Medicago truncatula: one gene and its partners. The protein of the gene in region 1 interacts with the protein of each later gene in a pairwise test. Links are inferred from orthologs where the notes say so. Each region holds a gene or a part of one and is shown on either strand. Other genes may lie near its edges.

Region 1 (6,940 bases):
ATATTTCGAAATTAAAATAAACATATAAAAATAAAAAATAAATTTAAAAATATGGAAATTAATTTTCCAAAATTTTAAAAAATATAAATAAACTTGTTTTCAAAAAATTTAATTATGATTTTCGAAGATTTAATTTTTGTAATTTTCAAATTTAATTATGATTTTCCGAAACTTTGAAGAATTCTCGATTTCACCTTCAGGTAAGGTTTTACATTTTTTTCGAAATAAAAAAATTCTAAAAAAATATGGAAATTAATTTTTGAAAATTATAAAAATTAAATCTTCGAAAATCATAATTAATTTTTTTGAAAACAAGTTTATTTCAAAAAGTTTATTTATATTTTTTAAAATTTTGGAAAATTAATTTCCAAAATTAAGTTTATTTTTTATTTTTAAATGTTTATTTTAATTTCGAAATATATTTTTTGTTTTTAAAAAATGGTTTTAAAATAATAAAATTACAAAATCTAGTGATGAGGGAGTATGATAAGGATGTGTTCTTGGTTTGATCTAATGATTAAAAACTAACTTTCCCATGATGGGAAAAATTAGTCTTTCCCATGCTAAACTTCACCTGTTAGTACTAATGAACATGATGATATCAATTGCAATATGTGACACAAGAAGAGTGAAGAAAATTGCATTAGATTAGATACTGAGATGGATCTAATAAATATAAATATGTGAAACAAAGGACTAAAATAAACATGAATTTATTAAAAATAGTGTTTCTTTGTACAATAAAGTAAACGTACGTACGTAGTGTACATTAAAAATAGTGTGTTTCTAACATGTGTTGTATTAAATGAAACTTTTTTCAATTATTCTCCTTTATATGTTGGTATCAAATCGAGTTGATTGCCTGTCCCCAAGACCCTTTCTCATCATTTTATAACTAAGAAAGAAAGAAAAAAAAACATTTTTTTCAGTGGAAGGAAAAGAAAAGACATTAATACTTTAATAGATTCACCTTTGTCACGCAGTTCACGAAATTTGACCATAATATTTTGTTCTTTATCATCTTCAAATTTCTGGAGATATATTACTCTTTTTTTAATAAATGGGAGATATATTACTCTAAAAACTATACTCATTCATAACTTAAATAGTAAAAACAAAATAAAACGACAAGAAAAAGAGAAATAAATATACACAACAACCTATCACAAATGTTTTGTCTGGTATAGTTAATTCTTGAAAAGGAGTGAAAGAACATATGTAGAAATTCTGTTCCCATATTTTCTACCCACTTCATGGCATTCATGGAGTACCCATCAACATGTTTTCTTTGGTACGTAGCAATATTTTTAGCCTCATTTCTACCGATACTTTTGTACATTTGGTCTCGGCAACCAAGGTCCCTCACGAGCAATACCATGATTATATATTGGTACTACATTGAACATTGATTAGATAGATTTTACTACCTTTGTATATTGTATGGTTTGATATATCAAATTATCAATATATGTGCTCTTGTCAATATGAATTATGCCCTTGAATTGACTCATTATATATTACTGGTCACACACCCTGTCTAACTATTGTCGATCACTTTTTTTGACAACAACTATTGTTTCTCTTGAACTCCTATGTCTCACAATAACGTCATATTTGATAATTTTATACGCATTAAAGAAATAAAAATAAATGAATTTTTATTAATCATCGGTGTATATTATTATCATTGATGAAATAAAAAACCATATTTATTTTCATTATCAAATACGACGGTTAACTAATTTTTTTTTTTTTTACTAATCATCGGCGTATATTTTCATTATCATCAATGTACGATACAAAAAAAAAATTATGATATTTTTTTTAAGGATAATTTATGACATTTTGAGTGATGCACATAATATTAATTAAACGATACAATTAAAAAAAAAAAGAGTTAAAACTACGTTAAAAGTGGATACCAACACTTCTTTTAGGAGGAAAATGTGATAGTTATTCTATGTTTTTAACTCAGGATCTGTTTGATGCGCATGATACAATAGAAACATGATATGATAAGAAACTGGATAAAAATAAGATACGATGATAATATAGAGATATATCCTGTGAAGCCCCGATACTTCAAAATGGATGACGTACCGTATCCCCTGCGTATCCTGCACCGATACCTGCCCGATACTTTCCGATACGTATCCGGAGAGTATCTAAATATTAAATTTTATTTTTTTAAAAAATAATTATCCGATACTTTCCGATACATCCCGATACGCACGGATACTTGTGTTTTTTTATATTATTTTGATTTCTGTTTTTTTTTTTTGTGTAAAAAATAAGAATAAAAACATTATATTACTATAATATATATATATTTCCTTTATCTTTCTTTGGTGCCAGTACGACCCACACCACACCACACAACCAATTGCATCTTTCCCTTTCTAAGAAATTAGGGTTTCAACTTTTTCTTCCAAAGTGGTCGCCGTCCACTTTGGCCACCGTCGAACTATCCAAAAGCTTGCTTTAAAGCTTCCTGTGCAACCTTGTTCTTCCTCCTGTTGTGAGAGAAATTTGAGTACTTTCTCTTTTATCCATTCTTTGAAAAGAAACAAAATGGATCCAAAAAGGGTAGAAGATTTGGTTTATGTGCATATTAATCTTCGACTATTGTCAAGGAAAGAATGTGGATATAAGAAAGGACAATCAAGAATGTGGGACATTAGAGGAGATGCGCATGAACCGCTTGATGGTGTTGGAATTGAGTTAGCAGAGTTGTCTTTGGATGAACCGGATTTGGAAGTTGATCTGTATCTTGATGATGGGAATGGAGGAGAGGAGATGTAAACGTCAGTTACTTGTTAGTGTTAACTCTTAGTACTGATGTGTTCTTTTTTTGGATATAGTGATTCTTTTTTGGATCGATATAGTATATCACTAACAAGTTCATTTTGGATATAGTGTAGCATTGATGTATAACACTGATGGTGCTCTTAATTTTGGTATATATTGCGTATGTAATTGACTAATGACCACTCTCTTAATCGTCAATATTATATTTATATTAATGTGCTACGAGTCTGGTTTCTTGTGTTTGTTAATATACTTGCATAATAAAAAAATGGTTATAATTATATAGTACATTTAATTATATAATTTTTTTATTAACGTATCTCAGCCGTATCGTATCTTGATTTTTGAAATTTTACCGTATCGACGTATCGGTGCAGTATCGTATCCGTATCGTATCTCGTATCCGGGCTTCACAGGATATATCATATCATATTTTTGGTGCACTTATGATAATAAACTTTATAGTATTATTTTTTCATTTCATTTGTTTAATACACACATAACAACGATATGATAAGATATATATTAGATTTAATAACAAAATTATCATTGTAAAACCAATAACTTCTTAAAAAAAAAATCAACTTTTCATATTTTTAATTGACAAAACCAACACATAAAATTAATTATATAGTTTTATCTCTCAATCACACAGACCCAAACTAAAACTAATTAAACAACGATTAAAACAAGGTGACAACTAGAGTACCCATGGAAGAATGGTGGGTAATTTATCCCAACCAATACACATTAGCCACATAAGCATATTTTTAAGTGATATTCATGAACTATCTTGACCCCACCAACAAATTGTTCATTTTCATTAGTTGGTGGGTAAATTACCCACCATTCTTCAAAGGTAATCTAGAAAAAACCTTAAAACAAGTTTTGGAATTGAAGCAATGAATTGCCTTTCGAAAAGGGTTTTGTTCTGAAAATTGGAAGGAACAAACTAGTCTCAATTATACACGGATGTAGAAGGAACAAAAAAATTGAGAACACAAGCAAAATGTTTTGGAAAAATTAGGAACACACAAATCGGGTTCAGACGAAGCATGCACAAAAGTGAGAGAGGAAAAAGGAAGGCACACTGCGAGAGAAGAAGAAGGAGGGCACAATTGGAGAGAGGGAGAAAATTTTGGTTGGAGTTTCAGAGAATATGAAGAATAGTGATGATAGTGTGTTTTGTTTGTGGAGATTTGTCTTTTCCTATCAGATTGCTAACCCTCCAAAAATTAAAGATAAAAATAACAAAGGACGAGTATGATTGAGTTAGAAATATATCTAATTTATTTTATCATATTGGTGCACCAAACATGCCATCAAGATATATTTTTCCTCCGGTCTCAAATATTCTTAACAATATATATATATTTTTAAATATAAGCAAAAGTCTACTTAACTACTATGTTTGATGTGATTATCCCAATTTTACACTTAAAAGTAAATATTGATTCATTTTCTAAATTCACTAATGATTGCAGTATTCTACACTTCACAAGAAGGATATAATCGGAAATAATGTCTTTTTTTCTTCTTAATTAATGCACTTAACCCATTTTCTTAAATGATGTTTTTCCCCCCTTACAAACAAGACCAAAGGAAGTACTACTAAAGTTAAACTTATGATTTCATATAAGATCTTGAACCCTTGATTTTAATATTTGAAGCCTGTTAACAAACTTAGCATCAGACAAATGCCAACAAATGTCTCTTAGGGCACTTGTTTAGATATTTAAAGCAGAATTTTTTTTCTTTGAAATCATGATCTCAACACATTAAAATTTCAAAAAAGAACCATTAAATTTTTACATAAAATTTTTAAATCATTTATTCTTTTGAATCCTTAACAAACATACTCCTGATTTTAAATTCTGATTAAAACAATTATTTATTGGATTTTTTTTTTAAGGATTTGTCAGATTGTTTATATTTCCTAATTAAACTCCAGATTAACGTATATTCTTTTGAGAAAATATGTTAAAGGATATGTTAAGATACAAAAAATAACCATATATTTTTTTTATACAGTTAATTATATTGTTAAATTTTCGTAAGTAAAAAAAAACACTCATTGCCCATAGTACACTTTATTTATTGACACCTATAATTGTCGGCTACCATGATAACATTTTTGGTCTACAAATTGCATAGGAGCAAGAAAAAAGAGTATGCTGGGTGGCGCTAGCTGCTGCTGAAAAAGTCCTCTTCATATCTTTCTTTCTTTATTATTTAAACCTTAAGGTGGCGGCTTATTCTTCTTACTACTACAATATTCTTTACCAAATTCTACATTTCCACAATGGGAAAAGGTTCCACTTCTTCTTCCTCCTCTTCCAACAGTAGAAGAAGGAAACATAATTCCTCTAATGTTTCATCCTCCATCACTCACCAAAATCCTGATCAACAACATCTTTTTCCTGATCTTAACCTTGGATTGAGCATTTCCACCACTCAACAATATGTTGATTATTCCACCTCAAGGTATGTTAAAGCAAAACATGAACCTTAAACTACTATGTTTGTGTCATCACTTTATTAAATTTTGTATTATTTATCATGTTAGGGGACATTGGCAACCAATTCAGCAACAAGGTGGTGAAGTAAATGACTGCAGTGATTACAACAGTGCCTTCTTTGTGAAGGTTTACATGGAAGGCATTCCAATTGGGAGAAAGCTCAATTTGCTAGCTCATAATGGCTATCATGAGTTGGTTAATACACTTGAACAAATGTTTGATACTACCATTCTATGTAATTACCATTCCCCCTCATTATGCATTTTTAATTCTTTCTTTGTTTGGTTAAATGAGTAATGATGGATTAATAATGTGACTTTGTTATTTCACCAGGGGGGACTGAAATGGATGGAGTGCAATCAGAGAGATGTCATGTGTTAACTTATGAAGATGGAGAAGGAGACTTGATTATGGTTGGGGATGTCCCTTGGGAGTAAGTTAACTTAACTATGACTTTTTCACAATTCAGCCACTTTAATTTTAGGTGAATTTGGCATAATTATGGTATTTTAGTGTGATTTTGACACAAGTTCATTTGGAAACTTAAACAAAATCAGTGTCGCCAAACCAGAAATCACAGTTACCGTAATTTTACCAAATTCATCGTCAATTCAAACACGTTCTTATAGAACATTATATTTTTGGTCATGTAGGATGTTCTTATCATCCGTGAAGAGGTTGAAGATCACAAGGGTTGATGCATTCGGGTTTTAATCAAAAGCATATATATTTGTTGAAGATCAAGCTTAGTCAAATGTAGTGAGACTCAATTTTAGTGATAAGAGATAACCAAAGTGATGATACTCTTAGATTATGTTTGAGGACTAGCAAGTGTGAGATAGTGAAAGAGAACAAAACCAAAATGAAGGGTTAACTAATTAATTTGTGATCCTTCATTTGAATATTTAAATTTTTGCAAAGTCCTTTAATATTAGGTCCATTTTAAATTAGAGAAGTGAACAAAGAAGTGTTTTGAAGGGTTATATGAGAAATTTAGTCAATTTTTTTATCCTTTTATGAAACTATTGAATAAATTTATATAGACACCATAAATACTTTTTGTCCACGCCTCTTACTTTACTTTATTTCAAGTTTCTAGAAGTCAACTTTTGGCTTCTATGTTGCCGACATAATCTCTCTATTGTTAAGATCTTGTTCCTCTCTGCACATTTCCACAAGGAAAATCAACAAACAAAAGGATAATTGCACAAAAATATACGAAGACACAGGAAACCAAGGTTGAAAATTAGAGCAGGTCATGTGCCAGGAATGAGGAGCAAAAAAGGGGACAAATATAAGTAGAAAGAATGTCGATAAAAGTAGTAAAGTAAATAGATGTCACGTAAATTAATTTTTTTTATTTGACAAATAATTTTGTCCCATAAAAATGTGGTTTTAAACTTGATCTATGATAGGTGTGTATGGAAGAACACTTTTTGTATAAAATACTAGTATCTTAAATTGTCATCATATTTAAAAAGATGGGAAATGCTAACCGGTGTCTTGGGACACTGGTTAAAGATATGAAAAAGGAAATTATATAGTAATTAATGCATTGTAATTGTGTAATTAATTTATAATAAAGTCAAAAACAGTTTTCTTTTATGATAATA
Region 2 (7,996 bases), about 34 Mb from region 1:
TATTTTTATTCAAAAAAAAAAAGTTTCACATATATTTAAAAAATTAATTCACCGTTAAAATATAGGTTAATTTTGATAGGTGTATAAAGTTTATAACATCTCTCGACAAAAAAGAAATTATAACATCTAATTCATCAACATTCTAGAAGTTTATTATAACAAGTCTCAAAATAATTTATAAATTTTATGTAGAATTTTTCGTTAGGGAAAGAAAAAATTGAAATGTTGAGCTAATATAAAAATATAAAACGGACTTATAAACAAAATCTTCATAAATGTAACTCAATTTGTAGAACATCTTATTATATATATATGATTTGAGGTTTAAATCCAAAATACTCTACGTATTTATTTTTGGAGATCATTTGATAAAAATAACAAATGAATCAAGTGTACAATGGTATTGTACATTGTGATGCTCTAGCAATTTTGCCAATTGTTGACTATGACGTTAATGGTAGTCTCACCAACTCGCCACATATATCTGCCAATTTTCAGGAGTGCTGCATCATTATTATTTCTCATTTATTTTGTTTTGACTCAAATGATCATTTTTTTTCATTTATTTCATTACATCACATCCATATAAAAGTTAGTTAAGATCCTATACATTTACCCTGCCTTTCTTCATTTCTTCCGTTTAAAAAGATAAAGACACGTAAAATTTAAAAAAAATTAAAATATAATTAATGATGGTGCAATCCACTTAATGATAGGATCCACAATCTACTATCTTTGTTCCTTTTTAATTGTCACATTTTGACATTTTATACAAACCAAGATAATCAACAATTGATACTACTTTTGATGCAATTAACTATACTTTTACTATAATGACCTTATTCATTTAACATTTATTTCATATATTTCTCTCTCCACAATAAATAACTAAGAACAATATTGATAAAACAACATCTAATGTTGCATTGAACTTTGAAAGTGACAGTTAAATAGGAACAAAAATTTTCTCCAAAAGTGACACTTAAAAAGGAATGAAGGGAATATTTTTTGTATCTCCGAATTGCATACTCTATTTATTTTGCCAAATGGATAGGATCTTACCATGAAAGTTGGGTTTAGAGTTTAGTCCAAAACATACTTAAAATGCAGTTTTTGTCCTGATTTTAATTTCTTGATTTGTAAATATAAAAAAATCGGGTGGCATTTCACATGGGAAAGGCCAATCCTTTCCTACCATGGGAAAGTTGGATTCAATGATTGGATCAAGTGAAGAACATATTCTTATCATGCTCTTTCAACATTAGATTTTTCTTCACACTATATACCAACAATTTTAAAAATTAATTTCCAAAAATTAAAAAAATCGAAAAAAATTCAGATATTTTTTTTTAAATTCTGTAATTTATTTATTGAATGTTAGAAAAAAATTTGAAAAATTGAAAATTTATTTATTTATTTTTCAATAAAAATAAAATTCTGGAAACTAAGATAAGTTTTTATTTTAGTAATAAAATGAGATATTCTGAAAAATAAAATAAAAATCCTTTTTTTTTTTTAAATTAAAGTTTTTTATTTTTATAATTAAATAAAATTCTGGAAAATAGTTTTTTTATTTTCAAAAAATATTATCTAATTTTTTGTTTTTATACTAAAAAAAAGTTTTATTTTGGAAAAAAACTTTTTAGAATGTTAGGAAAAAAAAATCTGATCCTTTTTTAATTCGGAATGGTAGTAAAAGTGTGTGCAAAAATCTAGTGTGAAGAGAGTATGATAAAATTGTTTTATTTATTTCATCTAATAGTTAAATACCAACTTTTCCATTTGTGAAATTGTCTTCGTCTCTGCCTCTAAGATCATCTCCAATTAGGATGTATGGATGTTTAAGTTGATAAATCTGCACTTTAATTTTTCAACCATCATGCTGCAAAATCGATAACATATAAATCGTTGAAGTATTTATATAAAATACGATATTATAAAATAACATTGAATATAGTAAAACTACCTGGTTTAGTTTGGATTTTAGAATGTGTTTCTTGTAAAGTCTTGTTTTGATTCTTCTTGTTCTTAGTTTTGGTGGATCGGTTTAGCTTTTTATTATTATTTTTTTTTTAAATAAAACATTGAATATAACTTAAAAAAAAATACTTCATCTGGTCTCGAATATAAGAAAACATTCATTTTTTAAGTTCATTAGATAAAAGATATATGTGATTTATATTATAGTTCAAATATATTATTTATTGAATGAACTTTAGAAAGAATTTTTTCATGTATTTGAGATCAGAGGGAGTATAAAACATGAGTTAATTAAGAGTTGTGTAATTTTTCTTTTTGTATTGGAGCAAAATAAGCATGATCCCATAAGTAAGATGTGCATTGAAGATCCAATTTTTTTAACGATAAAAATTATTTTGACAAATCGCACAATTAAAGATTATTTTAGAAATTCGACAATTTGAATGATTACTCGTTATCATTCAAGAACAAAAATGACAATTGTCTTAAATAAATAAATAGATGAGGTGTTCTTTGGTATCGATGTGATTTTAATAAAATCACAATAAAAGTTACTTCAATCAAATGCGTTATTAAAATTTGAACAATGATATTTGTGCATCATTACTTTCCATAAATCATTAAACACCTTAGGGTCTGTTTGGTAAAGCCATCAAACGAGCTTATAGCTTATAGCTTATAAGCTCGTTTGATAAAAAAAGCTCTGTTTGGTACTGTCTTTTCACCACGAGCTTATAGCTTATTTCACGAGCTTATAAGCTATTTTTCAGAAGCTATTCCAAGTAGCGTTTGAGCTTATAGCTTATAGCTTATCATCTTTTCTTTCATTTTTACCCTTATCATTTTAATTAAAACCCACTTTTACCCTTTATATATTAAAACACATTTATTACGTTTTCTATGTTTTTTTGTTCCTACGTTTCCAGTTTCTATATACTTCCAATTTAATTAGTACAACTCAACTACTCGAGTACTCTTCAAATAAAAAAAAACTACTGGAGCATATTTTTTGAGCATATTTTTCATATATTCATCTACTCGAACTTACTACTTTTAAGCATAGTTCATCATGTATGACGTTGAGATGTATGTTTTCAATGCTTTGTTACGATTTTTTTTTCTCTTGTAACAATTTTTGTTTTAAAATAAAATTATTTTTGAAAGAAATTTTTAAACTTGAATTTTTTTTGAAGTATAAAAATGGAAATGGAGTAAATTTAAAATAAAACTATAACAAAAAATTAATATTTTTTTGAAAGAGAAAAAATAATAATTTAATAATATATAAAATATATATTAAGAACATAATTTAATAATTTTATTAGAAATAAAAATGTCCTTTTATGTCATTTTACATTTATCAGCTAGTTTTACCAAACACTTTAATCAGCTTATCAGCTATCAGCCATCAGCTATAAGCTATCAGCTAGCTTATAAACTATCCGTTATTTTTACCAAACAGAGCCTTATTGTTTGTCTATCTTTCCTTTTCTATCTCGTTAACAATATATCATATCTATCACATCACTTCTTTTTATCTTTTTCACAAGATGTCAAATGGTTTTGGATGTACACCAATATTTTTCCTTCAAATTTTGTGTGATACACCATTATACCAAGTACTCACTCTGGTCACTATTATAAGCAAAACTCAACTTTCTAGATTCATTCAATAAAGGGTTAATATGCCTTTACCCCTGTAATATAGATCACTTTTGGTTTTGCCCCCTGTAAAATTTTCTTTTTGGAAAACCCCATAGGCTAGCTGACTCTGTATTTTCGTAGATGTGGCATGTTGCATCACTTTTTTTGGATGACGTGGCGCGCTGACTGTATAATTTTTTTTATGGGGTACACGTGGCATTTATGATTTTAAAAAAATTCTTAATTTTTTTTTTAAAAATGAAATAAATTCTGGAAAAATTAAAAAAATCTAGAAAATTTAATTTAAAAAATATGGAAAAATTAATATAAAACAAAATTTTCAAAAAAATTATAAAATAAAATCGAAAATATATTATTATAAAATTCTAGAAATTAATTCTGAAAATCAAAATAATTATATAATAATATAATTTCGATTTTTTTATAATTTTAATTTAATTCAGATTTTTTTATAATTTTTTTGAAAATTTCGGTATATATTAATTTTTTCATTTCATATTCTCAAAGGAGTAAAAATATTAATTAATGTATCTTTCTATGACATTTCATATTTTTATGTTACTTCAATTGCAAATTTAATCAGCTAACGTGTTTGTTATATGGTATATATGGTATGATGAAGTACGGACACTGACACGAACATCAGACACGACACGAACACTGACACATTAACACAAATAATAATTTTAAAAATGACATAATTTAGTATAATTATAGACATCATATCTGTGTCAAATATCGACACGTATCCGACATGAGGAGTTAGGACACACCTAATTCAAGAATGTCCCTACCTCATAGGTTATATGTTATAAAATCACCACCAAACCAACCAAAATAAGTTTAATACTTTTATAAGATCATCCATTATAAACTAATTTATAATCTATTCACAATTTTTACTAAATAGAGGTTATACATATACTAACTAGGGGTCCCAATGGTATATTAATTACCCTTGCTATTATATTTTTGTTCAGAAAAATAAATGTACTTGTGTTTATTCAGAGAATAATAAAATAATAATGTTTGTTGCAGTTGCAAGTACTTGATAGCGTGTAAGTATTGTACTGTTTCTGACTTCTTTATAGACACATTACATTACTTTTGCGTATATAGCTCTGCTTTCCCTATTTCAATTTATTAATAATATACTCTATTATTATTCTATACTATAGTACAGTACTATTCTACTAGTACCATTTTCTTTACCTCTTAATTATTTTTTTCATAAATATAAATACTATAATATAATAAAGCTGCAAGGGTTAGAAGTTGTTGTTGGAAGTAGCATGCACACTGCTTCTTGCTGTTTGAAGCAAAGAGAAAAAAGAGAGAGAATAGAAAAAAGTGCTTTGAGAATTGTAAAGAAAAAACAAAGAAAGAAGGCACTGTTTCAGAGTGTGATGTGATGAGTGGTTTCACTCAAAGGTTGGTTTCTTTTTTATATTTAAAGATAAATAAAAAACCACTCATTATGCTTTGATACGCGTGCTTTGATGCAAACTAATGAAAGTTTTTTATTTTTTCTACTTTTCTTTTTGTCAAAAGATTTGCACTTTGACCTTTTTTAGCAGTTTTTGTTCCTTAGTTCACTCTTTTTCACATTACTTGGATTGTTTTGTTTTTCTTAGACAAACAACAAAATGAGATTCTCATGTTAAGAATTTAAGAATATTAATGATGATGATCAAAATGGACCCTTGTTCTTGTTTTGTACTACCCTTTTGTTTCTTCTACTTTTCTCTCTCAAGTCAATACAAGTTTATTCCTCTTTATTGTGTTTGGTGGTGATGTTGCATGTTGTGAATTGAAGACTAAGATAGTGGTGAAAGTGGAACATGGCTTCCTTAGACGAAAAGGCTAAAAGTGTTGGAGGTGTTGTTGGTGGTCAAACTCTTGTTGCTGAAATGAAGTTGCTCAAAGAAATGCAAGAACATTGTGGTAAGTTCATGTTTCCTTCTCTTTTTCTTAATTTTTACAATGTTTATGTTATATGTTTTCTTAGTAGAAATTGAGATTTTGCTTTGATTGATATTTGGTTTTACTAATTTTTGTTTAGGGGTTAGAAAGACATTAAATTCAGAATTATGGCATGCTTGTGCTGGTCCTCTTGTGTCTTTGCCTCAAGTGGGGGGTCTTGTCTATTACTTCCCTCAAGGACATAGTGAACAGGTAACATTCAAACTCAAGAATCTCTTTTTTATGCTTTAACATTTGTAAGTGCTAGAATTAGCATGATTCTAGGTTTCTATTGAATGGTTGAAACATGTGTTGAACTTTTTTTTTTTTTTTTTTGTGTTTTGTCTTTTTAAGGTTGCAGCTTCTACTAGAAGAATAGCAACCTCACAGATTCCAAACTACCCTAGTCTTCCATCTCAGTTGTTGTGTCAAGTACAAAATGTCACACTACATGTAAGTAGTGTTCTCTCTTGATTTACCACTTTTTGCTTAACCACTCATTCAAACTTCAAATTATCATAACCCCTTTAAATTGTATGTTTTGATAACAGGCTGACAAGGAGACAGATGAAATCTATGCTCAAATGACTCTCCAACCACTGAATTCTGTAAGCTATATGAATTAGTTAGTTCTAGAATTATTGTTGTTGTTATTGTACATCTAAATGTTATTGGTTATGATTATTATTGATGTATTATTTTCCATTTTTTTAGGAAAAAGAAGTATTTCCAGTATCTGAGTTTGGACTAAGCAAAAGTAAACATCCAACTGAGTTTTTCTGCAAAACTTTGACTGCCAGTGATACTAGCACACATGGTGGCTTTTCGGTTCCACGCAGAGCTGCGGAAAAGCTATTTCCTCCATTGGTAAGGCTATATTGCACTAGGTGGTTGCAACCTTCTTTTATGGCTGTACAAGAACCCTCATTTGATTAGTGTGTTTTGGTTTTAGGATTACACAATTCAACCCCCAACTCAAGAACTTGTTGTTCGAGATTTGCATGATAATACATGGACATTTCGACATATTTACCGAGGTGAGGATGTTTTCTGCATCTATGTAGCACCTAGCATATACACTTTAGATTAATGGTGTGTCCGGTGTATGATATGTGTGTCAGAATCGGTCACCGACACATGTAGTTACATTCAATTTTTTTCACGTTTTCTAATTATTGTCAGTGTCGGTTTCATGTGTGGTGTTCATATCTGTGTTTCATAGTTCTACCATGTCTATTGGTTTGGTAAAATATATAGGAATAAATGTTTGTGGCCGTGGATTACATATTGTATTATTTTAACTGCAACTTTATACTTCCTCTTGGCTGATCTTAACCTTCAAAATATTTAGTCTTAAAAGAGCCTGATTGGGTTAGATCCTTACATTTCTTTCCTACATTTTTCATGTAGGTCAGCCGAAAAGACACCTTCTCACAACGGGTTGGAGTTTGTTTGTCGGCTCAAAAAGGCTTAGAGCAGGCGATTCTGTTCTTTTTATCAGGTAAAATTTGTTTGCTTCATTTTTGTCAAGTAGCTTCAACATGATACGAAACTCTGTTATTATCTGAATATAGGTAGAATAACTAGTGTGCAGAACAAAGTCTGCATAATCTTTCTAATTAGACTTGTTTTTTCTCCATGGTTACATTGCAATGTAATGGTTTTCAATATTGGGAAAATTGTGGAAGTCGGATTAGCAACTTATTATTTTAAATTCTGACCAATAATCATCTTCACATAATTTAATACTAAGTGTGATGTGTCATTGTTACAAGGGATGAGAAGTCGCAACTGCGAGTTGGTGTAAGGCGTGCTAATCGTCAACAGACAACACTGCCATCATCCGTACTTTCTGCTGATAGCATGCACATTGGTGTGCTTGCTGCTGCAGCTCATGCTGCTGCTAATCGAAGTCCGTTCACGATTTTCTACAATCCAAGGTATACCTAAATATGTTTATACCTCACCTGACATTAAATATTTTTAGATCTAATCTTGGTACTAATATTGTCTGGAGTGTACTATTTGCAGGGCATGCCCTTCAGATTTTGTTATTCCACTAGCCAAATACAGAAAATCTGTCTATGGGACTCAGCTGTCAGCTGGCATGAGATTTGGTATGATGTTTGAGACCGAGGAATCGGGTAAGCGCAGGTAATTTCCTGAATTCTTCTGAACTGTTTTCTGGGATATGTGCAAACTCCTGAACTAACAAGAATAGTTGATATATATATATTTCTTCTTATTCTGCAGATATATGGGTACAATTGTAGGTATCAGTGATGTCGATCCTTTAAGGTGGCCTGGTTCTAAGTGGCGAAATATTCAGGTAGGTTAAGTTCTAGTAACCCCAGTTGTTAAGATCTACCATTAACGACTAATTATATGG
Region 3 (7,681 bases), about 7.0 Mb from region 1:
ATATTTTAATCCTTCACAGCCGCTGCATCGTGAAGCAGCAATAATATATCCTTGTATGTCACACCTCTACAAAAGGAAGCTTCACATTGAATGTGCAGCAATAACACTATAGAAAGTATGTTTTCCAAACGCAACAACTAGCTTAAGCTGTTTTAACACCCAAAGATAACCATACTATGTATATGCCACTTAGATTATGTGATACTTATAGTTACTAGAATCAATTGCTGTGATGTATCACTACGACAATCAATTTGCTAGAGCCTTGATTCGAAAAACAAAATTGAAAGAACTCAGCCATTTTCCAAAGACAATTTCCATTAATTTAGAGAACCCTGAAATGTTTAATGACATACTTAAGAAAAATAAAATTGTTCTTACGAATTGAAACTATCCAATTTTACATACTCCTGCACTTAACCAGTGATCTTCATCACTCCCTCTAAATAAACGACTCCCCAACCAAGCTACCCAAAAGGCAAAATCTGCAGTCCTGCTCGCATCACTTGAAATATGTACAGAAACATCTCAAGCCAATCACATAGAGGTCTTCACAAATTGAATGTGACTCTCCATGTAGTTCATGCATTTGCAGGTTGTGTTGGTACCTTGGCGTGATTATGCTCGCCTTCATAGGTAACCATTAGCATAGTAGGCTCATCCAAGCACCTCTCAACATGCTTCCTAGCAGGGCAGCCTCTCATGCTGCTGCATTTATAATAGCCCCTGAAGAAACAAAATTAAGAGATTACAATCAGTTTCATCACACATAAAACTTGTAGAGTTGTAGTTCACATTTCACCTTCATTTAATTGACAATAATGTGCAAATAATGAAGCATAAATTTTGCTACTAAGGTTAAGATTGAGTTTACACCTAGAATATCAAAATTGCCAAATTGATTTCTCAAACATGTTTTCAAGTTAAAAAAAAGGGGCTATTGAACAAATGGAACTGTCAATATGATATTTGTAATGAAAAAATGAAGAGCTACAAGTTGACAGTGCATAAAAACATTCAAGGACCTTCTCAACGACTTAAATTCTATACAACGTACTCATCAACCAGAATACCAACTAAGAACAAATTACAAACATGGACAAAGGAATATATTAGCAGAACTCCAATCAACATATTACATATCCACACATAGACCAAAATTATTTAAATCCCCACAGGCTAGTACATCAATCAGATCATGTCAACATACTTTAAGATAAAATCATAAATGTACACCAAGCAGCGTAACGAAATAGTTCAGAAGTTTTATAAAATTATTGTTTATCACAACACATTCATATTTATTTGCTCCTTGAATCAATAAAATTAAATCTCAAATGGCACAACGGTTGGGCATACCTAGGGTGAGGAGAGCCCTTGATAGGCTTCTGCCCGTACTTCCTCCACGAGTAATCATCAGGAGGGATATCCGCAAGCTTGTTGCTGATAGCAGGCACCTTAATTGATCTCTTCACTCTATGCTTCCTGTCAAGAACACATAAAGTTATTAATATGATATTATAATGGTTTCTTAAACCTTTAAAGTAACAGAAATTAACCATTAATGTAGCAACCATAAGAATTACCTTTTCTTTGAGCAATGACATTTAGAACTGCTACTACATTTCAAGCTTCCCTCATCACCTCTAGCAGAACATTTCCTCTTGTGCTGTGAATTCTGATCTGAAGAGATCGGAGCTCCTATCAAATGGAAGGAACTTCCATCAACGTTTGCTACGCTTCCGTCTATGCTCAAGGAGGAAATGAAAGACCTAGTAGACGACATTGTTGGTGTGCTGCTAGTAGCCTTGTCAAAATTAAGGCTTATGCCGCTGGTGTTCCTTCGGAACATCATTTCAGCTTGATGCTTCATTTGTTGCTGCTGTTGCTGCTGCTGCATCAACAACCTTTGTTGCTGCAGCTGCTGCTGGTGATGATGCTGTTGCTGCGGCTGATAGAATTGATAGTGAGTTGATGCAGCTTGTTGAGCAAGGTGAAGCGGACTTTTCCCGTTCGAACTCAATTCCAAAGAAGGGTTTCCAAGAGAAAGTGGATTTCTTAGGGTTGAACCAAGTTCCTGAACTGAATTTTGAGGATAGGTAGTTTGAGTAAAGTGAACATTTTTGGTGTGATGGTTGATGATGTTTCTTTTGCAATTTGGGTTGTCTAAGAAAGCAGTTTGAGGATAAGGAACATTTTGAAGATTTTTAAGCTTCCTAACTCTTGAATGATCCAAACCATGAAGCAAAGACACAACTTTCTTGAACCTATTCACAGCTTCACCAGTTTCAACAGTTAAATTCCTATGATGAACTTGATCCCTTGGTTGAGACAACATACTTAGAACTCTATGACAGCTTTCAACAGCTGTTCTGCTTGCTTGTTCAACTTCTTCCATTTTAGCCTCTCTCTTTCTATCTATAACAAAATTCAGAAAATAAAAATATTTAAAAAAAAAAAAAAAACTAAGTCCCTAAATCAAAAGAAGAACACACCAAAACACAAAGAAAGCATCTCATTTATCCACAAATATATCAGACATTGATTCTCATGTGGAAGATAAAAATACCCAGATGAAAAAAATCCCATTTTTCACCAGACAATGAACCGCAAAAATAGGATTTTTATTTTTAGTTAAAGTTACAAAATTTCAGTTCATAAGAAGATAAAGGTTGAATTTTTTTTTGAAACAAAAAAGACCCATGAATCAGAATCAACTAATAGTGCCTTTCAACATTACATTAAAAAGACCAAAGATAAAAAATAAAAAAAAATAAAAAAAGACCCAATTTTCATGTGACAAAAAAAACCAACAAAAAAATATCAAAGTGCAGACAAACCTTGATGAACTTGTGTTGTCAAACCCTAGAATCTTGTTGCTGTTGTTGTTGTTGATGTTTCCATGGGTTTGAGATTGAAGGTGTGAAGAGAGGACTTTGGTTTCTTTGAGAATTCACACAACCATCACACACACACACACACACACATAAGAATACAAAGGTTCTAACTTTAGACTAAAAACATTTATAAATAAAAGTCCTAAGAAACAAGCAAAAAATAAAACAATTTTATATTTGTAGCTATACTCTAGTGAGAGAGAGAGAGAGGGGAAAAAAAGATGAGTTAAGAGTTTAAATAAGAAAAAAACACACACAAGAAGAGAGAGAGAGAGAGAGCATGAGAAACAGCTTGAGAAATGAAACTGCTGTCTCTGTCACAGATTTGAAGGTGGGACCGACATGAAGACCTTTGTTATTCTTTTTCTTCCCTTGTTTCAGCTTTAATTAATATTTTTTTAGACCTACCCATTTCAGCTTCACTTTTACTACTTTTACTTCTTGATTCAATTTATTACACTGTGTTTCTGATTTTTTTTATTGGTTTGAAATTTTGGATTTACCTTCCTTAAAAAAAAAATAGTTTTGGATTTACCTTATATGATGTGTTCTTTCAATGTTCAAAAGTAAGTTTATCTTGACTGGAGTAAACTAGTAAACTGGTTAAGTTTAATTTCTTTCACAAAATTTTGAATGGGCTAAGGTTAATTTTTTTAATCAATTTTAAATATAAAGTAAAAAGTCGAATGTATTTAATATGAATTTTGAACCAACCGTATTTTTTTTTATAACAAAAGAGTGCATGCATTTTTATTTAAACTTTTCTAATTAGTATTTTAGAAATTGGCTAAATATAGTGATTTTGTTCATCTATGTATTATGTGCTGTAAACGCGTTTAAAATCGGTTACACGCATGTATTTCAGTGAGATGAATGTGAGTTCAAAAATTTATTAGGTTAAATACACGCGTTTAAAATCTGTCATATACGCCACAAAGTAATGAATGCGGGTTCAAAATTTTATGAAATTGAGCCGACGCACTTAAAACCTGTTACATAGGTCACTATGTACAGTCAAATATATTTAACCCGATTTTGAACCAAAGACATTTGATTTTTTCCCGTATATCTATAACAAAAGAGATTATGAATTCTTATTTAACCTTCTCTGTTTTATATTGTAAGAATTGGCTAAATATTGGTAGTAATGCCTAACATATACTAGTGAATTTTTTTTCCTCCATGTATTATATGTATTTCAATGAGTTGAAAACACGCGTTATAAATCTACCATATACGCCACAAAGTAATGAATGCGGGTTCAAAATTTTATGAAATTGAGCCGACGCGCTTAAAACCTGTTACATAGATCACTGCAGACAGTCAAATATATTTAACCTAAATTTCGAACCAAATACATTTGATTTTTTCCCGTATAATTATAACAAAAGAGATTATGAATTTTTATTTAAACTTTGCTATTTAATGTTGTAAGAATTGGCTAAATATTAGTAGTCATGCCTAGCATACCACTGAATTTTTTCCTCCATGTATTATGTGTATGTGAAGGCGTTTAAAATCGGTTACATGTATTTCAGTGAGATGAATGCGAGTTCAAAATTTATTATGTTGAAAACACGCATTTAAAATCTTCCATATACGCCACAATGTAATGAATATGGGTTCAAAATTTTATGAAATTGAGCCAACGCGCCTAAAACCTGTTACACATGTCACTGTAAATAGTCAGATATATTTAGTCCAAATTTCGAACCAAATACATTTGATTTTTCCCCGTATATTTATAACAAAGGAGATTATAAATTCTTATTTAAACTTCTCTTTTTAATATTGTAAGAATTGGCTAAATATTGGTAGTCATGCCTTTCATATACTAGTGAATAATTTTTTCTATGAACACGTTTAAAATCGGTTACATGTATTTCAGTGAGATGTACGTGAGTTCAAAAAATTATTATGTTGAATACACGCGTTCAAAATATGGGTTCAAAATTTTATGAAATTGTGCTAGCGCGCTTAAAACTTGTTACATAGGTCACCGTAAATAGTCAAATATATTTAGTCCGAATTTAAACTAAATACATTTGATTTTCCCCCGTATATTTATAACAAAAGAGATTATGCATTCCTATTTAAACTTCTCTATTTAGTATTTTAGAAATTGGTAAAATATTAGTAGTCATGTTTAGCCAAACTATTAAATTTGTTTCCAAGTATTATATGTTTGTGAATGTGTTTAAAACCATTTACATATATTTCAGTGAGATGAATGTGAGTTCAAAACTTTGTGGCGTGTTCAATACCTATCACATACATCAGTGTGTAATGGATGTGGATTCAAAATTTTGTGAAATTGAACCAACACACTTAAAATCATAGGTCATTGTAAATAGTCAAATATATTTAGACCGAATTTCAAACAAAATACATTTGATATTTCTTTTTATATTTATAGCCAAATATAGTATGAATTCTTATTTAAACTTTTAATATTTTAGAAATTGGTAAAATAGTAATAGTCATGCTTAGCCTATACTATTGAATTTTTTTCAAGTATTATTTGTTTGTGAATACGTTTTAAAACGGTTATATATTTTTCAGTGAGATGAATGTGCAAATCGAGATTGGATCCTCTCCTTTCCCCTCATTGTCTCTTTCTCCCTCCTTCATCAAGTTATGTCTATCTCTCACTTGATATCCCCCCCCCCCCCCCCTCTCTCTCAAATCCATGAACGTGAGCTCATAAATTTGTGACATTGCATTCATGCGTTGAAAATTTGTCACATATGTCATTGTGTAATGAATCTGGGTTCAAAATTTTGTGAAATTGAACCAACATGCTTAAAGTATGTTACATTTTTTTTTAGAGCCGCGTAAAGTATGTTACATGCATCACGATATAATGAATGTAAATTCAAAAAATTTGTGAAACTAAATCAACACATACATAAACATGTTGATAGGTTGTGATTGTATAGGATTACAATTAAGGTTGTAATTTCTTAAGTTATCATTGTTTGATTGTTCGACGAGTTTGATATAAGAAATAATCTTGATCTTGTCTATTTTCAAAGAAGTATGGCCTGACTTAGACTTGAAGTGTATAGGATTACAATTAAGGTTGTGATTTCTTAAGTTATTATTGTTTGATATAAAAGATAATCTTCATCTTGTCTATTTTCAAAGAAGTATGGCCTGACTTAGACTTGATGTAGACTAATGTAGTCAACTTAGCCTATTGATGGACTTATTTGACAAATGTACTAAATGCATCGTCAAATAATAATATATGTAGAGATTCATATCCACATGAATTGTTGTTTCTAATAGGCAATTAAACTATGTTTATTTAAAAATTAAAATGGAGGTGTTTGCATTCATAGTTGGTTTGCAGATCAAATTAAATAAATACTTAATTCAGAATGATGACAGGAGCTTAAGATGGTTTGAATCCTCTTTATGTTCCTGCTTGGTAATGCTAGGTCCTAAACAAAAAAATAATTTGATACCTTTGCTCATGACAATTTAAAAAATAGACCAAGATCAAATTCTTGGTTCAAGGTACGGTTTCTATAATATAAAACTCTAATTTCTTAGGTGAAATTGATATTATCAAAAGTTTGATTAAGCGTTAATATATTAGCCGCACTAATTAATTCCCTATATCTATATAAATTAGTTAGAGAACATTGTGCCTAGTTCCGGTTACAAGACCTAGTGGTAATAATGAATTACAACATAAAATTAAGGCTAAAATATGGTTTTAGTCCCTGTAAATATGCCTCGTTTTGGTTTTAGTCCCTGGTAAAAAAATAATTTGTTTTTGGTCCCTGCAAAATTTTTTGTTTTTGAAAATAGTCCCTGACCCCACTTTTGTGATGATTTGCATACGTGACACATTATAACTGAACCAATTTTATAGTTTTTGGTCCCTGCAAAATATTTTATTTTTAAAAAAGGTCCCTGCAAAATTTTTTGTTTTTGAAAATAGTCCCTGGAGGGACTATTTTCAAAAACAAAAAATTTTACAGGGACCAAAAACAATTTTTTTTTTACCAGGGACTAAAACAAAAACGAGGCATATTTGCAGGGACTAAAACCATATTTTAAGCTAAAATCAATTAGAGTTTATCATGCAATGAAAGCATATAACCACAAGGTATAATGAAGAAGCATAGTTCAAATTACCTTAACAGAGGACTTATAGATTATATGGTTCAAACAATATCATACAAGTTCATCATTAAATCTAAATCTAATGAGTTTAGCTACTTATCATATTAATAAACAACATAATCAAAAGGTTAAAGAGCTACACACACAAATAGAATAGCAAAGGTCTTCAATCTTGTTGACAAGGGATGGAAATTTCCACTTTAGGTCAATGACATCACACTTTATGTCTATGGATCGTCAAAATTTGAAACCCTTCTATTTAGGCGAGTGCTTGCTTAAGTAAATCGGATTTTACATTATACATGCGCACCCCGTACAACATCACACGCGTTGCGCGTCTCGCTAAATGATAAATGTGCATGTTGCACACAAAAGCACGCATGTCGTGCACATGATTGAGGCTAACACATTTGAACTATGTTTCATTTTGCACGTTGCTCACTAGACTTACAAGCGGGACACATGCGTTTGAGACTCCTTACACTTTACAACTTCGCTCTTCATGAAAAAATAACCTTTGTCATGTGATCGAGACATAATTTCCCCAAGTTTCTTGGACTTCATCTCTTTATTATGATTGGTATACCTTTGCAACATCCACAAGGTATCTTCTAATCGGATCAAACCATTGGTCTATACTAAAAAGA
Region 4 (7,898 bases), on another chromosome or scaffold:
TCCGCCCATTCCCATAGTTTGTGCCACTGCCACGCCATAACCGCCCGCTGCTCCATTCACCACTCTCCCTCCGTAACAAATAGCTGGCGGCGGCGGAGGATACCCCGTACCTATACTATCTCTCGTCTTACCATTCCCAACATACCCTGAACTCGAAGGTTCTCCAACTGCTCCACCTCCCTGTGCCACCGTTTGGTACGGTGGCGCAACAACGTTTAGATTCCCGCCGCCGCCAATAGCAAATGAAGCAGCCTGAGCCATTGTAGAGTTGTTGTTCGGATACACTGCGGCGTAATGCTGCTGCTGCGGCCGGTGAGATGACACTGCTGCTGCGGTAGGTGGTGGTGCTATGGCAACCGGCATACCAGACTGTTGTTCCCTAACTACCCCTGCTTTAACCAAGAAATCCTCCAATGTCATCTCGCCAAAAGTCGGCTGTCGAGGGGTAGACTCGGTATTCTGAGCAACATTGTTGATGTTGTGATGGTTCTGTTGTTCTTTGTGTATCTCAGACCAAACTTGTTCCACAGTTTTCCTGCAGAGAGGAGCAGGAATCGATAACGAATTTTGGCGAGGAAGACTTGCCTGTTTGCTAATCCCTTTCTGAGCTGCAGACAAGTTATTGTTGTTGCTGTTATTATTGTTGGATGCAGCTTGTTGTTGGTTTTCTTCTGCATTCCAAATACTACTTAGAAACTCATCCATGTTCATGGATCCGAAATTCTTGCCGCTATCACAGAGGCTGTGTTGGAACTCGTCGAGGGTGAGTGAGTATATGGATGAAGATTGCCTTCCGAGCGATGAAGAAATGACATTGTTGACGTCATTCCTGATCGCTTCTTCTCCTTCCCTTTGCAATGATTCTACCTCCCCTTGTTGCCAATTCATCTCACCTTCTCTTACCACCATATTCTTCTGCTTGTCTTATTTTCAGCACTGCACCAGACATTATATTTGTCAACACTCGTAACAAAAAAGCACATTAACAACATAATTATTAGATTAATAATACAATGTAATATGAAAAGACTTTTTAAAACACATCAATAATTTGTGAATGCAAGAATTCAAATCAATGCAAAGTTGATCAAACAAAAAACTTTGTTAACGACAAATAAGTCAACATAAGCTTTTTGTTAACAAAGAACCTTAACAAATGTTAGATTCCTTTGTCTCTTTCAAAAAAAAAAGTTAGATGCCTTTGTCAACGCATGAAAAAATGGACTGCTTCATGACAATAATACTACAATACAGCCAATTTGCTTATGTCATGTATTTAATAAGAACTTATAATATGCTGAGAAATTGTTGAGGGTGTATTGAGTAATGTTGAAATTGTAAATTTTAATTTCTTTTTTGGGGATGATTTATTTATTTTTTATAACTAAAAGACATCAAAATTAGAGCAAGTCTCAAGGTTGAAAGAGCGTTCATAGAAAATACTTATAAATTGTCCACCAACAAAATTCTTACACAATAAAAATTGAACTCACGCCCTTATAAAGTCAACAAAATTCTTACATTGACAATAAAAAAAATTGAACTCGCGCCCTTTAGAAAGTCTGAGCCAACTATTTACCAACTTGACCAACTTTTGTTGGCCATGAGGACCAATACGAATTTAAAATAATTTTATAAAGTGTATAAATAAATAGTTTTTTTTATGAGTTTTAAATATGTAAAATTATTTTGGGGTGGGGCTACACCTATGTCACACTCAATTCATTTTCCTTTTTATATAAAAAAAAAAAAAAAAAAAACAGTGTCAATAAGTTGGATTATTTTTTTCTCCCCTCCAACTCCCTCTATTATTTGGGTGCATTTCAAGATGCCTCTAATTCTAATTTAGATTATTTAATATTATCCAAACATGATCAATTGTTGGTCTTGATTCTCGAGTTCACTGAATTTCACATAGAAAATCCAATATTTGATCAGAACCAGCTCAAAAGTAAGCAGAAACTGCACCACCATCGCTCTATCAATGGAATAATTGAATATCGAAGCAACTACTACTTTTATTATTCGGTACAAAAAGAATGCTTCAGTGCAAAGAAAACTTCACACTTCAGATCTATTTATGACAACATATTATTTTAAAAAACGTAATTTACTTGGGATAATGTTAAATTTTATCAAATTAAATAATTTTTTCTGCTAAAAATGTTTTTTATTTTATTTTATATAATTATAGGTTGACAATTCTTAGGCACATAAAGTTGATTTACTCTTCCAACTAATTTTTCTATACTCTTCATTAAGTAGAAGAACTATCAAATTCAAAAGCACTTGATCCTATAGCTACCTTATAACTTGAATTTTATTCTAGAGAATAAAAAGATTCTTTATTCACATGCATTAAAAGTACAAGGGTTGTTTTTGGATGATCGGTTGAAAAACTATAATAAATTAAGTTGTGAGGAATATTTGGTGGGTGTAGAAAAGGATTGATGTTTGTACACAAAAGGAAAAGAATGTTGCCTCATTTGGAAATGATTTGGTGGCCAAATGAAGGAAGAGATAGAATAAATTAATCTATAATAACAAAATAGCATATTTAACTATCTACCAAATAAAATAAAATAAAAGCATATTCTCTAAACTACAAAACTCAAAAACTCAAATGCTTGCACTAATTAACGTTCAAAATTATAGGTAATCCAATGAAATCAAACCAAAAACGTTCACAAAGTTTCCATGCATATAACAAAATATAGAGAAATAGTATATTGATGAGATCATTATTTCCTTTGAATCAAACTTTTGGAGAGAAATATACCTGGAAATGCAAGTTGTAATGTTAAGCTCCTTTTGTCTCAATGTCAAAAGTTTTAGAGCTTACTTAAGAAGATAGTGAGGCTGAATAGTGAGCAAAGAGTGTGCTAAAATTATATAAAAGATTTTCCACAAACGAAAGACCTGCATATATAAGGATCGATTAGCTAAAAATTTAGTAACTATCTTCGTCCATTTCGTCTAAGGGTACCCCACAAAATAAGGCATAGAAATGAATAAAAAGAATGGATGAAAGGCCGCAATAGACAGAAGAAAATTCAGAGGGCAAGTTCCCGAGTTAAATCGCATGATTTGCCACGTATAGGGCAAGTGTCGTCTCTACAAACCTGTTTGGTTGCAGACATATTTTTAGCACAACACGTATCATCTCTATATTTTTATTTTCTAAATAAATAAAAATAGTACTGTTATGTATTATTTGGACCCTATATTTTATTTTTGGTTTTCGATGTAATCCTTTTTGAAACACTTTAAACTCTATATTTTATTACATGTTATATTTTTGTTAAAAAAGATACAACAAAACTATCTCGGAGAGGAAAAATGTTTCACTTCATTTTATCAATAATAAAATATTGAATACATCTATCCCCATGAGCTTAGCTCATTTGGTAAGGAATAATGCACAATATGTGCAGGGGACGGGGTTCGAATCCCGGACACCCCACTTAAAATAGTTAATGATTGTGTACTTCGTTAGTCAAAAAAGTTTCAGACATTAAAATATTGGCTTAAACTCACTTTTTGCCCCCTAAGTTTGCAAAAGTTGCAATTTTGGCCTCCTATTAAAAAAAATGGCAAAAACAACCCCCCATGTTTTCCCTCTTTTGCAAAACGTCGATTTTGACCGAGTCAACCATATGTGGCATGCCACTTGGGTATTTTTTTTATTTTTTATTTTTTATTTTTTTTAATCCATAAATTCCACATGTATAATTAAAGAAATAAAAAAAATAAAAAATTAAAATTAAGAAGAGAGGGCACGTGAGTGAATGAACATAACACCATTGTTGTTTCTTTTGTCCATAATGCTGGAAAGAATGCATTTTGCAAAACAAATTCTCCCACTTCTTTCTTCCTCTTCCTTCTTTCCTAACCAAAACTTGCAAATTATTAAAATTATCAACATTGAGGAGCAATCCATGAAAAAATGTAGCAGTTCATCATCGGCAACTGTCATAAGAAGCGTAGCTTCTGGAAAACAAACTGAAAACAATAGATTTAAATTCCGGCGCGGTGGTGATGTTTTCCGGTGTGGTGGTCGTCGGAAAAATGTCATCCAAGCATAATTTTTTGTGGGTTTTGTAGGGAATACGAAGGAGAGTACTTTTATTGTGGTAATTTATCGAAAAACGTTTTGTGGTGGTCTAGATCTAACAATGAAGGTGGTGGTTTGAAAACTCAAAATATCTCCAATCCAAAAATAAACTTATGATGAGATAGAGAAGGAAGGGTGAATAAATATTATGTATTTTGTTTGACAAAGGATGGTTGGAAGCACCACGTTGGGTGGCTGGAAAGAGTGGCCGGAAAAAGGGAAGAGGGAGGCGGCAATTAGGAAAGAAGGAAGAGGAAGAAAGAATTGGGAGGAAAAGAAAGAAGAGAGAGCATAGAGACTCTCTCACTCACGTGCCTCTCCATTTTTTTTCTTTTTTGATTTTTTTTAATTCAAAAGATACACGCGTGGCAATTTTAATATTTTTTAATTAAAAATTTACACATGTGGCATGCCACATATGGTTGACTCGGTCAAAATTGGCATTTTGCAAAAGGGGGAAAACATGGGGGGTAGCTTTTGCCATTTTTTTTAATAGGGTGCCAAAATTGCAACTTTTGCAAACTTAGGGGGTAAAAAGTGAGTTTAAGCCTAAAATATTGTGTTAATTTTGATACATATACTTACTTATTGTCATATCAATCCTTATAAATACTTATTTATTTATTTTTATCATTTTCGTCTATATATGAAAAAAGTTATTATGAGTATTGAGCGATTATTTTAGCATTAAAGTCTATTTCGATTAACAAAATACATCATAAGAAACTATTTAAAATTTTGATACATTAAAAGACTATTATGACTACTCTTTATACATTTAGGAACTAAAATAAATATTATCCAAAATATAATGATAGCACTGCGGATGAGTTCGCTGCTCCAATTAAGGTTTGAGCGACCATATTTATTTTCTGTCTAAAGAAGTCAATATAAGAGATTTTAAAATTATACAAAATTATGTTTGTGGTCCTTAAGTTTGACCTTATTTCAAATTGATATTTCAAAAAGAAATTCTTCTTAAACTGATCATTTCTATTACATTTTGTTTATGTTGTTAGCTTTTAAGTTATGTTTATCTTTTATTATTGGCCTAATTTTTGTTATATTTTGTGATTATTTGATTGATAATTTTTATTTCATAATTAGAGATGAACAACAATCAAATGTTCATTTTTCACACGTTATATTAGAGATGAATTACTCATTATTTTGAGTTTATAAGGATTTCAGATTTAGAAGTTTAGATTTAAAGAATAAGAAATAAACGGATAAAAGAAGATGGATACTTTTGTTTAAAAAAAAAATGACATGGTTAGAAGTCTAAAACGAACATTGAAATAATCACACATGAATTTGATGATAGGAAGCAAACAACCATATCGTTTCTAGATAAGCAGAGTGCATATATAGCACTTACTCATGGGTGGCCTTGAGGGTGGGCGAAAGGGGCGGCAGCCCGTGCACCATTATTTTAGAGGCATTAAATTTTTTAATTTTAGTTAGTATTTTTTTTTTTTGGTGGTCGAGATTCGAACCCCGGACCTTGCATGTATTATGCATTGTCCTTATCAACTGAGCTAAATTCACGAGGACATTTTAGTTAATAGTTAGTATTATATAGATATATTTCTTTTTAATTCGGTTTAATTAATTATAGTGAAAATATATTTTTAAAAAACTTTGATTATAAATGAATCTTTTGCAACAAAAAATGTAAGAAAAAAACTATTAAAATGATTAAAAAGACATAATTTTATTATTTCGTCCAAAGCATAAAAAATTTAAGGACCGGCCGCCCTGCACTTACTGTGAGGCAAACTGGTCTATATCTATTTGTTAAAGGGTTAATTAAGTTTTTGGTCCCTATAAATATCTGCAGTTTTGTTTTTAGTCCCTACAAAATTTTCCGTTAGTATTTTTAGTCCCTATTAAATTAAAATTTGTTTAATTATGCTTAAAATTTTAAATTTTTTAACGATTTTTTACATACTTGTTTAAAACATTATAAAAGGTTCCGCCACAATAATTTAGCTCAAAAATTTTATTTTTAGGTCCAAATTTTTCTTAGTTTTATATTAAATTTTTGGCGTTTTAAAAAAAAATTATATTTTATCGATTACATGTTAAATAATTCTAATTTTTTATAAAAGAGATTATTATAATGTTCTTAACATTTTTGTTAAAAATCATTTAAAAATATTAAAGGTTAAGTATAATTAAACAAATTTCAGTTTAACATGGACCACCATATACTTTTAGTCATTGTAAAATTAAAATTTGCTTAATTGTGCTTAAACTTTTAAATTTGTAACATATTTTTCACATACTTACTTAGAATATTATACAAAGTTCCTCCGCAAAAAAGTCACTTAAAATTTTATTATTAGGTCCAATTTTCATTAATATAATCTTGAAAATTTTCCTTTTAGAAAAATTCATATTTAGTTCATTACATGTTAAAAAAAGTAAAAAAAATTTACAAAAAAGTGTCTTAAGATGTTATAAACATGTACGTAAAAAATCTTTCAAAAATTAAGAAGTTTAAGCATAATTAAACAAATTTTAATTTAACAGGGACTAAAAACACTAACAGAAAATTTTGTAGGACTAAAAAGTGTAATTTATTTTTATAGGGACTAAAAACAAAACTGCATATGTTTATAAGGACCAAAAACTTAATTAACCTTAGTTAAATAATCTTGAGCTCACTAATACTGCTGAATCAAAAAAGTAATGTATTAAATAAGATAGGATCTCTAATATGCATTACAAGCTAGGCATGTTGGATATCCACATTCTATCTTGAGGGAGGTGTTACAACTTGTTAGCTGTTAGTTACTAGTATATTAATTCTGTTAGTTAATTAGTTATATTTGACGTTGTGTCTGTCTTTATTTTGTTCATTATTCAATCACAACAAGCTTCTTCTTTTTCTACGATAAATTACAACATGCTTATGCTTAGCTTGTGATACTTTCATATCTTTATTTCCTTTTTTAGTTTTAAGGTAACAGTCTTGATTTTTCATATCATTCATCATATACATATACATATAATATGCATGTAAATGTACTAAGACAGAAGTTCAAAAGAATACATTGGGATTTCTGCCTAGGCCCATTAATTAGTATTCAAGCATATGATTGATCGGTGTATTAATCAAAAGTTCAAACCAATATAATATACAGTTATATAACTTTTACATATTTAACGGAAACGTCGAACTAATTCTACTCTAATCCTCAATAGTTATATAAATCTATTTCTTAACTTTATGGCATGATGTGGGACTTCTTTCCGTTCTATTGGGTCTAGTTGGAACCAAATCAAATCGCCTCCTCCATGTAAACGTGCTCCTGAATGACTTTTATCGGTATGAAACTAGTTGTCCCTTAATATATTGCATTCGATTAAACATATGTTTGGATATATGGCCAAACTTTTAAATTTCAAGTTTCGAGACAAATTTTGTGGTGAAAAAATCAAAGCTACAAAATGTAGTTTATATTAAACCCATATCCTCGTGGTTCCTTTTTGGACTGGATCATCTCAAGTGACTGAGGAGTTTAGTGAAATCATGACCATTGAAAAAATAAAACATAGACAATTAAATGCAAAATTAGAAGAGATAAAGTGTTTAATAGTAAGTATTAGGGTTGACACTGCAGTAAACCGTAGAGATTTTCACTGCGGGGAATGCATTCCCGTTCCTTCCACCGCACAAACAAATATGTAATAAATAGGGACAAACTCGTGAGAAAAATCACAATTCAATATTTATTTTTCCAACTTATGTATAGGCATTTGCTTTGTGCTTCTGACT

What was found.
Region 2: the proteins of auxin-responsive protein IAA30 (region 1) and auxin response factor 5 interact in a two-hybrid assay, tested with the Arabidopsis thaliana proteins (2 studies listed by BioGRID). The link is inferred for Medicago truncatula from reciprocal best matches to the Arabidopsis thaliana genes IAA30 and MP.
Region 3: the proteins of auxin-responsive protein IAA30 (region 1) and probable WRKY transcription factor 21 interact in binary tests that used the Arabidopsis thaliana proteins (3 or more experiments, as listed by UniProt). The link is inferred for Medicago truncatula from reciprocal best matches to the Arabidopsis thaliana genes IAA30 and WRKY21.
Region 4: the proteins of auxin-responsive protein IAA30 (region 1) and protein ABSCISIC ACID-INSENSITIVE 5 interact in binary tests that used the Arabidopsis thaliana proteins (3 or more experiments, as listed by UniProt). The link is inferred for Medicago truncatula from reciprocal best matches to the Arabidopsis thaliana genes IAA30 and ABI5.

Annotation. Positions count from the first base shown.
Region 1 is NC_053042.1:42,203,263-42,210,202, forward strand, and holds auxin-responsive protein IAA30, read left to right. Parts: upstream 1-4,969; 5' UTR 4,970-5,110; coding exon 5,111-5,292; intron 5,293-5,374; coding exon 5,375-5,562; intron 5,563-5,660; coding exon 5,661-5,760; intron 5,761-5,980; coding exon 5,981-6,041; 3' UTR 6,042-6,310; downstream 6,311-6,940. UniProt on the Arabidopsis thaliana protein: Aux/IAA proteins are short-lived transcriptional factors that function as repressors of early auxin response genes at low auxin concentrations.
Region 2 is NC_053042.1:7,849,087-7,857,082, reverse strand, and holds the start of auxin response factor 5, read left to right. Parts: upstream 1-4,918; 5' UTR 4,919-5,076; intron 5,077-5,216; exon of another isoform or gene 5,217-5,461; 5' UTR 5,462-5,486; coding exon 5,487-5,589; intron 5,590-5,707; coding exon 5,708-5,820; intron 5,821-5,961; coding exon 5,962-6,060; intron 6,061-6,158; coding exon 6,159-6,215; intron 6,216-6,321; coding exon 6,322-6,474; intron 6,475-6,559; coding exon 6,560-6,644; intron 6,645-7,017; coding exon 7,018-7,108; intron 7,109-7,382; coding exon 7,383-7,547; intron 7,548-7,638; coding exon 7,639-7,761; intron 7,762-7,860; coding exon 7,861-7,936; intron 7,937-7,996. UniProt on the Arabidopsis thaliana protein: Auxin response factors (ARFs) are transcriptional factors that bind specifically to the DNA sequence 5'-TGTCTC-3' found in the auxin-responsive promoter elements (AuxREs). Seems to act as transcriptional activator.
Region 3 is NC_053042.1:35,168,871-35,176,551, forward strand, and holds probable WRKY transcription factor 21, read right to left. Parts: upstream 3,088-7,681; 5' UTR 2,841-3,087; intron 2,419-2,840; exon of another isoform or gene 2,415-2,418; 5' UTR 2,399-2,414; coding exon 1,587-2,398; intron 1,486-1,586; coding exon 1,360-1,485; intron 727-1,359; coding exon 582-726; 3' UTR 301-581; downstream 1-300.
Region 4 is NC_053048.1:49,355,473-49,363,370, reverse strand, and holds the start of protein ABSCISIC ACID-INSENSITIVE 5, read right to left. Parts: upstream 3,047-7,898; 5' UTR 2,780-3,046; intron 937-2,779; 5' UTR 910-936; coding exon 1-909. UniProt on the Arabidopsis thaliana protein: Participates in ABA-regulated gene expression during seed development and subsequent vegetative stage by acting as the major mediator of ABA repression of growth.